2 linked regions of the Saccharomyces cerevisiae S288C genome follow. The protein of the gene in region 2 interacts with the protein of the main gene of each other region in a pairwise test. Each region holds a gene or a part of one and is shown on either strand. Other genes may lie near its edges.

Region 1 (5,650 bases), on a different chromosome or scaffold from region 2:
AAAGGCATGGCTCTCATACGTACAAAAAGTATCCACTCGTGCAATACAGTGATTTGAAACCATTGTGAAAAAGTACGTGGTAGCTTCAAATCCTCGTAAAAGTATTTAGCAGTTTCTGATAATGGCTCGTCCTCGTATTGTAAACCTTGCTCTTTACAAATTTTATAATAGTAAGATCCTGCAACGGGCCCTGCCCTCACTCTATCCATATCTAAATGAAATGCTCGAATTACTAGTTCACCCAAGGCTTCTTTCCATTTGGGAAGTTCGTACTTTGACGATTCATATTTACTATGAGCTAGAGGAATTTTATTCTGAGCAGTTTTCACTGGTGCTTTATTGCTTACATCTAGTGGTTTCGAATTCAGATGTGAGCTTTTTGCTAAAAGCTCTGGCGAATCTTGTGCAGTTTCTTTATTTTGCTTGAAAACACATGTTTGATGCAAATAAGCTCTCGAGTAGTAAAAAGGGGACTTTCTAAGGAAAACAGGGAGTCGACCTGAAGTAAATCTATTGACTGACATCATCAAGTGTTGGAATAGCTGAAGAGATTGTTACGGAGATCATAGTGTTTGCTAAATATTAATCTTACTAATGCGTCAGTCGAGGACCAATTTTGACGTTGTTTTCCTTGCTGGCTATAAATTCAGAAGAACGCCGGGTAAAGCCTAAATACAACTCCAGTCAGACGCCCTGAAATGGGCCAATTTATATACGAGGAATAATGAATGGTGAAGATTAAATAGTAAAAGATATTTCTAATATCTTTCTAAGGCGTATACAGGAAGAGTGATTTGAACTGCAGAGTTGTTTCTAGTTGCGTTCTTCATCCTCTCGTCGTCTTGAAATAAGTTGACATTCAATCTCCTCTAATATACCCTGCACATCAAGATGTGCAGCTTTATCTACTCGTTGAGAACTTATCCCATAGCCTGAAACATGACTAATATGCTTATACCTCTGATGATTTAAAAGCTTCGTAAGAATATCCTCTTGCCTTTTTCTTTTCGTTTCAACTATAAATTCGAGGTCTATCGTCCTCAATTGTTCGAAATGAAAATTCAAAGGATAAATCAAATTTTGTTGCTTTTTGAGAAGTGCTCTTTCACATTCTCCAAGGTGAGCTACGTCTTTTAAAATCGCTTCCAAAACGAGATCATTCTTTGTCCTTGATAGTTTTTTGGAAATTTTCTCCATGTTGGAAAAATGTTGGCCGTTGGATGTACAAGTTGTCTCAATTCTTTTCAGTTCAGGAAACGTGAACTCGTTATTTTTCAAAAGTTTGTGATTTTTTTTGAAGGTTTCATCACATTCAATACGCCTTTTAATTTTGAACTGTTGCTTGTATGATACTTCAATACGGTCCATTTTGGATGTCAAAGCTTTCTTCAATTGTCCCTCATTTTCTCTTAAATCATCCAACCTATCTACTAACATATGTATATCTTCTATATCGTTGAAGAAAGCCCATTGATGATGAGAGAGTAGGAGCTTTTCTGGAGTTTCTGATATAATTTTTTTGTCTATGAATGCCGGAATAGTTGGCCTCATTAAGATACCGTTTGAATTAATTATCATGAAATTCTCACCTTGAGCAATTTGATAGTAAGACCCGTCTGTCGACCTAAATATTGAAAAGACTTCTTTTGTCGCGTAGGCAGTACCTTTTGCTTTAGCTAACAACTCCCATTTTTTCAAAGATTCGACGTCGACATCTAAGCAAAAGTTTATATCCGCTTCAGAGGGTCCTTGAACCCACAAAAAACAGCAGTTGTAAAGTTCCTCATTTTTTTCACTGATGGCTGATGACGATCCATTTGAGTCCATCCAATAATATCGATTTCCATTTCTATCTTTACCCAAAATCTCTAGTCTCTTGATATCGCTCTGAATCAATTTTGCCTCTAGGAAGGCGATATCTTCCATTAAGTATGCAATTTTCACTTTAAGGGCATTGACCTTACCTTTACATTCATCTGATCCATATCGGTTCATTGAAACGTTGCTGTGAAGCTTCACGCGATTTTTGGTTAACGTTTTTAGTTGCCGTTTCAATTTGATATACTCTTTTTTTGCACTATCCAACTTTAAGCGGATTCCATTGCACAGTTTTGGTACTTTATCTACCAACTCCTTAATATAACTCGAGAAATTGGACGCAAAATCTACGAGAACCCATAAAACATCAATTTTATCTTTTATAGATAATCTCTTGCGAAAGTTATCCCAGAGCTCATCACCTAAATTTACAAAATTCATGGATAAAGGTAGTATTTTTTTTGTGATACATTTTGCGACATCACTATATGCTATCATATGTGTATTCTGTTGCAAGATTCCAAGGAGACAGATCAACCAATTGCCGTTGCTAAAGTTTTTATTGTGCAAAAGTTTAACCCAGCTAGTATCTCCATAGTTCAAACACTTTTCTATAGCTATATCAATTTCTGTTTTATTTCCTTCCTCCTTTCGCTTTTCTTCAGTCCAATTGTCCATCAGATTACAATTCCAATCAGGTTCATTATCCGTCATCAGACACATTAACGAGCAAACTATATCAATGTAAAGTATATTCACTTTTTCGTACGATTGAAACTCCATATCGTCATTTTTTAGAGGCTTCCCTTTAAAAATGGAATACATTACAAATTCAGTACTTTTATCCGTTATAAATTTCCTCATTTTCTGGTTTCTGGTGAAATTGCTAGGTATTCGTTGACTCTCATCTGCATTAAAGACGTTAGCCTTCTCACGCTGGGATACGTTACTACTGGTCACTTGATTATATATTTCGTTTCTTGGCTTCTCATTTGTGAAACTCCCTTTGCTGTTGTAAGTTTTAAGAAAGTTTATTTTGACATATTCATCTACTAAAGCCTCCGGACTAGTACACTTGATAGTAGTAAGGAACTGATCAAAATTAAAATGTGATAGACCAATAAAACGTCCAAAAAAGCTCAGGAATTGATAAACAACCAATAGTCGTTCCGTTGGAAATTGACTGCACTCTTTGAACCATTTTTGATCGATATTCTTATATTCTAAGGAGCTATCTAAGTAGCTGATATTTTCAAATGGTATCGAAGGCCCAGTGAATGGAAGCTCCTTGTCGTCGACGGTTCCCTTCAAATCATTGTAGGCAAGGGAGTTCACATTATCGTAAATGTGGTCAAATGAGACTGAAATCTCGTCGTCAATTGCTTTTATTTTAGATAGTGACGTTTCCGACGTTTCCGACGTTTCCGACGTTTCCTTCCAGTCAGCAGGTTCAACATCGCTCTCTGGTGGTATAGTAAGAGGAGTGTAAAGCTCGGAAGAAGATGAGTTCATTCTATCCGGCAAATAATCAATCATATTAGGAGAGCATTTAGGGTTTACATCATATCTTTCTATATATTCTTGTTTCACCCTCCATGGTGCGTGCTCCTTATTCGATACTTTTATGAGTATTTCATTAAGAAAACACGCAATTATGAATTTAGAAAAGTGTGATTCTGGCCTTTTAATTTCATTCTGGCCTACAATTAGGGCCGCACCTTTAGATTCTCGATTCAGGCATTCTGTGATTAAATACAGTGACAATTTTGGGGCAGAAATTTCTCCCTTTTCACTTTCCATCATCCCGTTAGATTGAAACACATCCTTGACAAGGAACAACGTGACATTGTTTTCAATAGTTGGTGATTCTACCAAGTTAGGCTCTCCTTCTTTATAGGTAATCAATGCATTTTTTTGGATAGTTTTCAAGCACACCGTATCGCCTATAAAGAAACGGTTACTAAAACGCTGAAATGCGCTTTCTACAAGGTGTCCTACCTTCCTTATCGGACTGAAGTTTGCGAAATTTGCTATAGCCTTCCTTAGTTCTTTTGGTAAAAGATATCTGACCTTTTCACGGTGCTGTTCTTCGCTTTTTAACGCCTTGAAATACGAAAGGCCATCTTTTCCACTAATCTCACAGGTGAATATATCCCTTTTGTAAAAATCTAGCTTTTTTAAATCACTGTCATAATCATTTATACGCTCGCTACTTTCTTTAATCACCCATGGAGTTTCAGAGAAGGAATCAGCAGACTGTCCTATTTCCTTAGGTTGTATTTTCCTTCTGTTAAGCAGAACCATTTTTGCTTTGAATTTAAAGTACGGCTAGAAGAAGAGCCAAACTAGGGATTGCGATTTTTACTGAATGAAAATGATTGTCTCTCTTACTAAGTCTGCTAACATTTATCAGGTTCATAATGTTTACTATTGAAGTGGCGCGTTACAAGAAAACAAGTCATCCCATATTGAAATGACAACAAATAGAAAAATACACATAATTCCATATCGCTAAATCACACTATCATATACAAAATGGACCAAAGTAAACAAATGTCGATTCATGCAAGTATTGTTACATATCTTGTCACTTTCTCTTCCAAAAGTTGAGGATAGCTGTAAAGGTGCATTTGCTAAACTCTCAGAAACTGCTGGTCCTAAACAATATCAAAACAAATATCAGATAGGTAAGCTTAGATTATTTTAAGGACATGTGAGCCATAGTGCAGATACTCGTACTACTGTTGTAAATATTTCTGTAATTTCAAAGTTGAGATTATCTAGATGAAGTTTTTTTTTTGTTATCGCCTAAGTTTAATGTCCGTACAAATGAAAAATTTTCAAGGCGATGAGCTGAAGTGAAGCTTCAAAATTAAGGAAAGTATTTGCGCTGTTAAGGTAAAAATATCACATAATAGTAGCCTTTAATCAGCCATCTGAGTTATCTGAAACGATGGAGCAGTCTAATAAACAGCACCGTAAGGCGAAGGAGAAGAATACAGCAAAAAAGAAGCTCCATACGCAGGGTCATAATGCAAAGGCCTTTGCCGTGGCAGCCCCAGGTAAGATGGCGAGAACTATGCAAAGGTCAAGTGATGTGAACGAAAGAAAACTGCATGTTCCTATGGTTGATCGTACCCCTGAAGATGATCCGCCTCCATTTATCGTCGCTGTCGTGGGTCCACCTGGAACAGGAAAGACTACTTTGATTCGGTCCCTCGTCAGGAGAATGACAAAAAGCACTTTGAATGATATTCAAGGTCCTATTACTGTTGTCTCTGGTAAACATAGAAGACTAACTTTTTTGGAGTGCCCTGCGGACGATCTGAATGCGATGATTGATATTGCTAAGATTGCCGACTTGGTTCTTTTACTAATTGACGGTAATTTCGGTTTTGAAATGGAAACAATGGAATTCTTAAATATTGCTCAACATCACGGTATGCCAAGAGTACTTGGTGTAGCTACACATCTTGATCTGTTTAAATCTCAGTCAACTTTGAGAGCTTCTAAGAAAAGATTAAAGCACAGATTCTGGACGGAAGTTTATCAAGGTGCAAAATTATTTTACCTATCTGGTGTGATTAATGGAAGGTATCCTGATAGAGAGATTTTAAACCTTTCACGATTTATATCTGTTATGAAATTCAGACCATTAAAATGGAGGAACGAACATCCCTATATGTTGGCTGACAGATTCACAGATTTAACTCATCCGGAATTAATAGAGACTCAAGGACTGCAAATCGACCGCAAAGTCGCTATCTATGGTTATTTGCACGGTACTCCTTTGCCTTCTGCTCCGGGCACTAGGGTGCATATTGCTGGTGTT
Region 2 (4,456 bases):
ACGAAACAAAGAACAGTGAAGAAATTGTCGAAAGGGAAGCAGACGTTTTTGAAGAACCAGGAAAGATGACTTCTGATGTTGAATATATTAACAATGAAGACAGTGAAAACGAGGATGATGATAGTCAGAATTCACCCTCGACGGACCACTCGCTGTCTTCGAATGAAAGCAAAGTTGAAGATGGTGACCTGTTTTTTGTAGATGAAGAGGCTCAGCAATCGCCGGATCTAACCAAAATAAAAAGAGTATGTATCGAGGAAATCGCAAGGCCAAGAGAAGTTGCGATAGAGTTCGATCCTATCTTAACAATTGGAAAGGTTGAACTTAGCGTTTCCGAAGGTAACGAAAGCAAGGAAATTAGTGTTGACGTTCCAAATAAGGGTAATAAGACATATCATCCATTTGCTGGTTACATTTCCAACGTATTACATGGTATGCATACTAGCGACTCGGACAATGATGAACTAGACTACGAAATAGAAACAGAGAATAATAGTGAACCTTTATACGAATCCTCAGCAAGTTCTGAGGTTGATCAAGGGTTTAATTATGTTGGCCAACGTCACAATTCCCGAGCTGACAACAATCTTTTACCAAGCCCTAGTCCGCAGTTGACAGAAGATATAAAATGTCTTTCAATAAATGGTACCAAAACATTCGAAGGCAATAATGATAATCTGCCATCTCCTGCTAGCGAAGAGTTAGAATTTGGATTCAAAGAAGAAGATTTTGTCATAAATACTAATGACATAGTGGTCTCCAATATAAGAATGGGCGGAGTAGACAATTCATATTATCTACGGTGTTACAGATTACTGGGAGATTACGACTTTCATTGGATTGACCAGGACTTACTCACAGACTTCGTTGTAGACGAGTTAGGTCTTCCTGAAGATAGATTACCTGCATATTTGAATTTTATTAAAAATTCTCTTATACCAAAAATTGAACCAGCTGAGCCAACCTACTCAGATATTCCGATTTCTGATTCGAGTGATGAAGGTGACAGCTATGAAGGCGACAGCTATGAAGATGATGAAGATATGGCCTCCTCGGTTGTGCATAGCGACATTGAAGAGGGTCTGGACGACCTAATTGCATACACATTGAAACATGATACAGAAAGATTCAAAACATTTGAAACCAAGTCCTTGGAAACTAAGGGTAAAGGTAAGAAGAAGAAGCTACTCATCGATGACGCCTTAGCGCTGGATACAGAAACGTTGGAGACGTTACAAAGTAAGTTTAGTAAACGCATAGAAACCAAAGCAAAGAAAAGAAAAGCCAAAGAAGATTTCATTGATCAGGAGAATAGAAATTCGAACGATATGCTCAAGAAATACCCATATGGACTCCATATTCAAAATATTAAAGATGAATTTGAGTCCTTTTTGTCTAGGAACAATGATAGACTGACTTTCCCTCCATTAGATCCTCATGGAAACAAGACCGTAATGAAAATTGCGAAGCATTATAATATGAAGAGTTCAAAAATTGGGAAAGCAAATCATACGTCGGTTGTTGTAGAAAAAATAAAGAAAACGAAATGGTCTTCTCCGAATTATAGTCTCATTGACCAATTGATGAGGCAGAGGCCAGTATTCATGAGAATAGATATAAGAAGACCGAGGGAGGAACAAGCTGCTTTCGAAAGAACTAAAACAATCAGAGGGAAATTTCATGTTAAAGAAGGTGAGATTGTTGGTCAAAACGCTCCAGAGATTGGAAACGAAAATATCGGTAGAAGAATGTTGGAAAAGCTTGGGTGGAAAAGTGGAGAGGGCCTTGGTATTCAAGGCAATAAAGGTATAAGTGAACCAATTTTTGCCAAAATTAAAAAGAATAGATCGGGTTTAAGACACAGTGAAAGTTAATATTTTCCAAGCTTTTAATCCTCATTTTCTTAACAATTGCGTATATACATATTTTTTTATTTTCTAGACTAGACCATGAAAAATCTATGGTAATATACACATACGGAGTTTTAGGTACAACTTCTCGTTACATATCCAATTCAATTATCGTAACTGTAAATAACATCTTCTTGTGAAAATTCGCGTTGCGCGACGTGAGGCGTTAGGCAATTTTTTGTGGAACGTTTATAGTAATAAAACAACTAATAACGTTAACGTTCCTCGGGAAGAAATCTACACATACAAAAAATAATCACTAGTAAATAGTGACAGGTCTTTTGTACATCATGACTGATTTCGATTTAATGAATTTTCCATTTCATGAGCGTTTGGATTCTCCTGTATCAGAGAATGGGGAAATTAAAGACGGAGAGCCAATCCCACAAAACTGGCTAAATGAAAATCATGTCGGAAAATCCATCTTACCTTTATTCGTTAACCCTGAAGATGTCATCAATTGCAACTTTTCCAATGCTAGAGACTCATATGAAGAGAACAAATCACCATCTATGGATCAAATGAATTATGCTAGAAATACTAGTTATCAGGAATCTCCAGGATTACAAGAACGACCAAAAAACGAAAAAGATAAGTCTCCCATAGGTACTGATGTTCATAAAAAGGATGTACCCAATTTCATACACTCTACTCCTAGAGAAAACTCTTCGAAGCATTTTACGAGGGCAAATGAACAGGCTTCTGCTCAACCAACTGATGAACATACATCGCCAGATATCTCGATAGAAGACTGTAACGGTGCCAAAATTTTTCTACAAAACTCCTTATCGAAAGAGGATTTTCGAATGTTAGAAAATGTGATACTGGGGTATCAAAAAAAAGTTATTGAATTGGGTAGAGATAATCTAAGACAAGAGGAAAGAGCAAACTCTTTACAAAAGGAGCTCGAAGCAGCTACGAAGTCAAACGACAAAACCTTAGATAACAAAAAAAAAATTGAAGAACAGACAGTATTGATTGAAAACCTAACAAAGGACCTTTCGCTGAATAAAGAAATGTTGGAAAAAGCCAATGATACTATTCAGACAAAACACACTGCATTACTAAGTCTCACTGACTCCTTAAGAAAGGCCGAGCTGTTTGAAATACCGATTGGTATATTGTTTTTCGATTTGTATGACTCGGAGGAAAATTCTTCAAAATTAGATCACATATTACAAGAAAAATATCCTAATATTAAAGGGTTTTTATGTGCATCACAGCAAGAAGAGCTGAGCCGCATTTCTCAGCGATTTAAAAATGCAAAAGCAGAAGCTGAGGATCTCCGAAATGAGTTAGAGAATAAAAAAATTGAAATCCAGACCATGAGAGAAAAAAATAATACTTTAATTGGTACAAATAAAACCCTTTCCAAACAGAACAAAATACTATGTGATAAATTTGACAAGTTGACAATCGATGAGAAGGAAATTTTGAAAGGATGTAATGAGGAAATAAAAATTAAGCTGGAAAGGTTGAATGAAAGACTAGGATCATGGGAAAAAAGCAAAGAAAAATACGAAACATCATTGAAGGATAAAGAAAAAATGCTAGCAGATGCTGAAAAGAAAACAAACACTCTATCAAAGGAACTGGATAATTTGAGGTCGCGATTTGGAAACTTAGAGGGAAATACTTCTGAAAGGATTACAATAAAAAATATCTTACAGTCAAGGCCCGATATTTCGGCAGAAGAATGTAATTTCCTTATGGTTGAACAAATTGATTCAGCAAATTTGACGACTTTACAAAATACTGTCAAAGAAATTGTTTTGGCTGTTGGTATTCCTTATCCAAAGTTAAGGCGAAAGATTCCGTTGCTGGCTATCAAATTGAAATATGAAAACATCATGCTGTCCAATTTTGCTCAACGTCTGCATAGACAAGTATATAGTCAAGAAATGAATCTAAAGAAATTTACGGATCAAGCATACTATGATTTTATGTCAACGCGCAGGATGGATTCCATAGATCACCATTTGGAGAGGTGTCTGGACCATCTGTATGATCATATCCTGGAGAAGATGGTGAAGTAATTTTTATTAACGGAGTCAATAGATAAATTGTTGTAATTGTAACTAAAAATTAAGGTATAAGATTAAATTATATTCTAGGAAGTATGTATAAAATATTCATTTGTTGTAAAATTGGAGGGCTTAAGCGGCCAACATTTTATGTTTACACTTTTTCTTGTTTTAAGAATAGAAAAAAAATATACGTGAAAAAAATTTGAAGTCATCGCAAAGTAGCTCTTTTTACATAGTAAAAGTCTGACCAGCCAAGAGTTAATATCAGTATAGTGATATCCTACTACTTCAAAAATAACGGATGAAGACCTGCTACTATGAGCTTTTAGGGGTCGAAACGCATGCTTCTGATCTTGAGTTAAAAAAAGCTTACCGTAAAAAGGCCCTACAATATCACCCAGATAAAAACCCAGATAATGTTGAAGAAGCCACACAAAAATTTGCTGTGATTCGAGCCGCTTATGAAGTACTGTCTGACCCCCAGGAAAGAGCATGGTATGACTCACATAAGGAACAAAT

What was found.
Region 1: the proteins of CNM67 (region 2) and YPL216W interact in a two-hybrid assay, tested with the Saccharomyces cerevisiae proteins (one large-scale study listed by BioGRID).

Annotation. Positions count from the first base shown.
Region 1 is NC_001148.4:142,293-147,942, reverse strand, and holds YPL216W (uncharacterized protein), read right to left. Parts: upstream 4,123-5,650; coding exon 814-4,122; downstream 1-813. Other genes in the region: CBP3 (Cbp3p), read right to left, coding at 1-527; GTPase BMS1, read left to right, coding at 4,772-5,650. UniProt on the Saccharomyces cerevisiae protein: May be required for the activity of an ISWI chromatin-remodeling complex.
Region 2 is NC_001146.8:222,214-226,669, reverse strand, and holds CNM67 (Cnm67p), read left to right. Parts: upstream 1-2,200; coding exon 2,201-3,946; downstream 3,947-4,456. Other genes in the region: SQS1 (Sqs1p), read left to right, coding at 1-1,874; JJJ1 (Jjj1p), read left to right, coding at 4,239-4,456. UniProt on the Saccharomyces cerevisiae protein: Involved in the pathway that organizes the shaping and sizing of the prospore membrane (PSM) during sporulation. Required for the proper formation of the spindle pole body (SPB) outer plaque.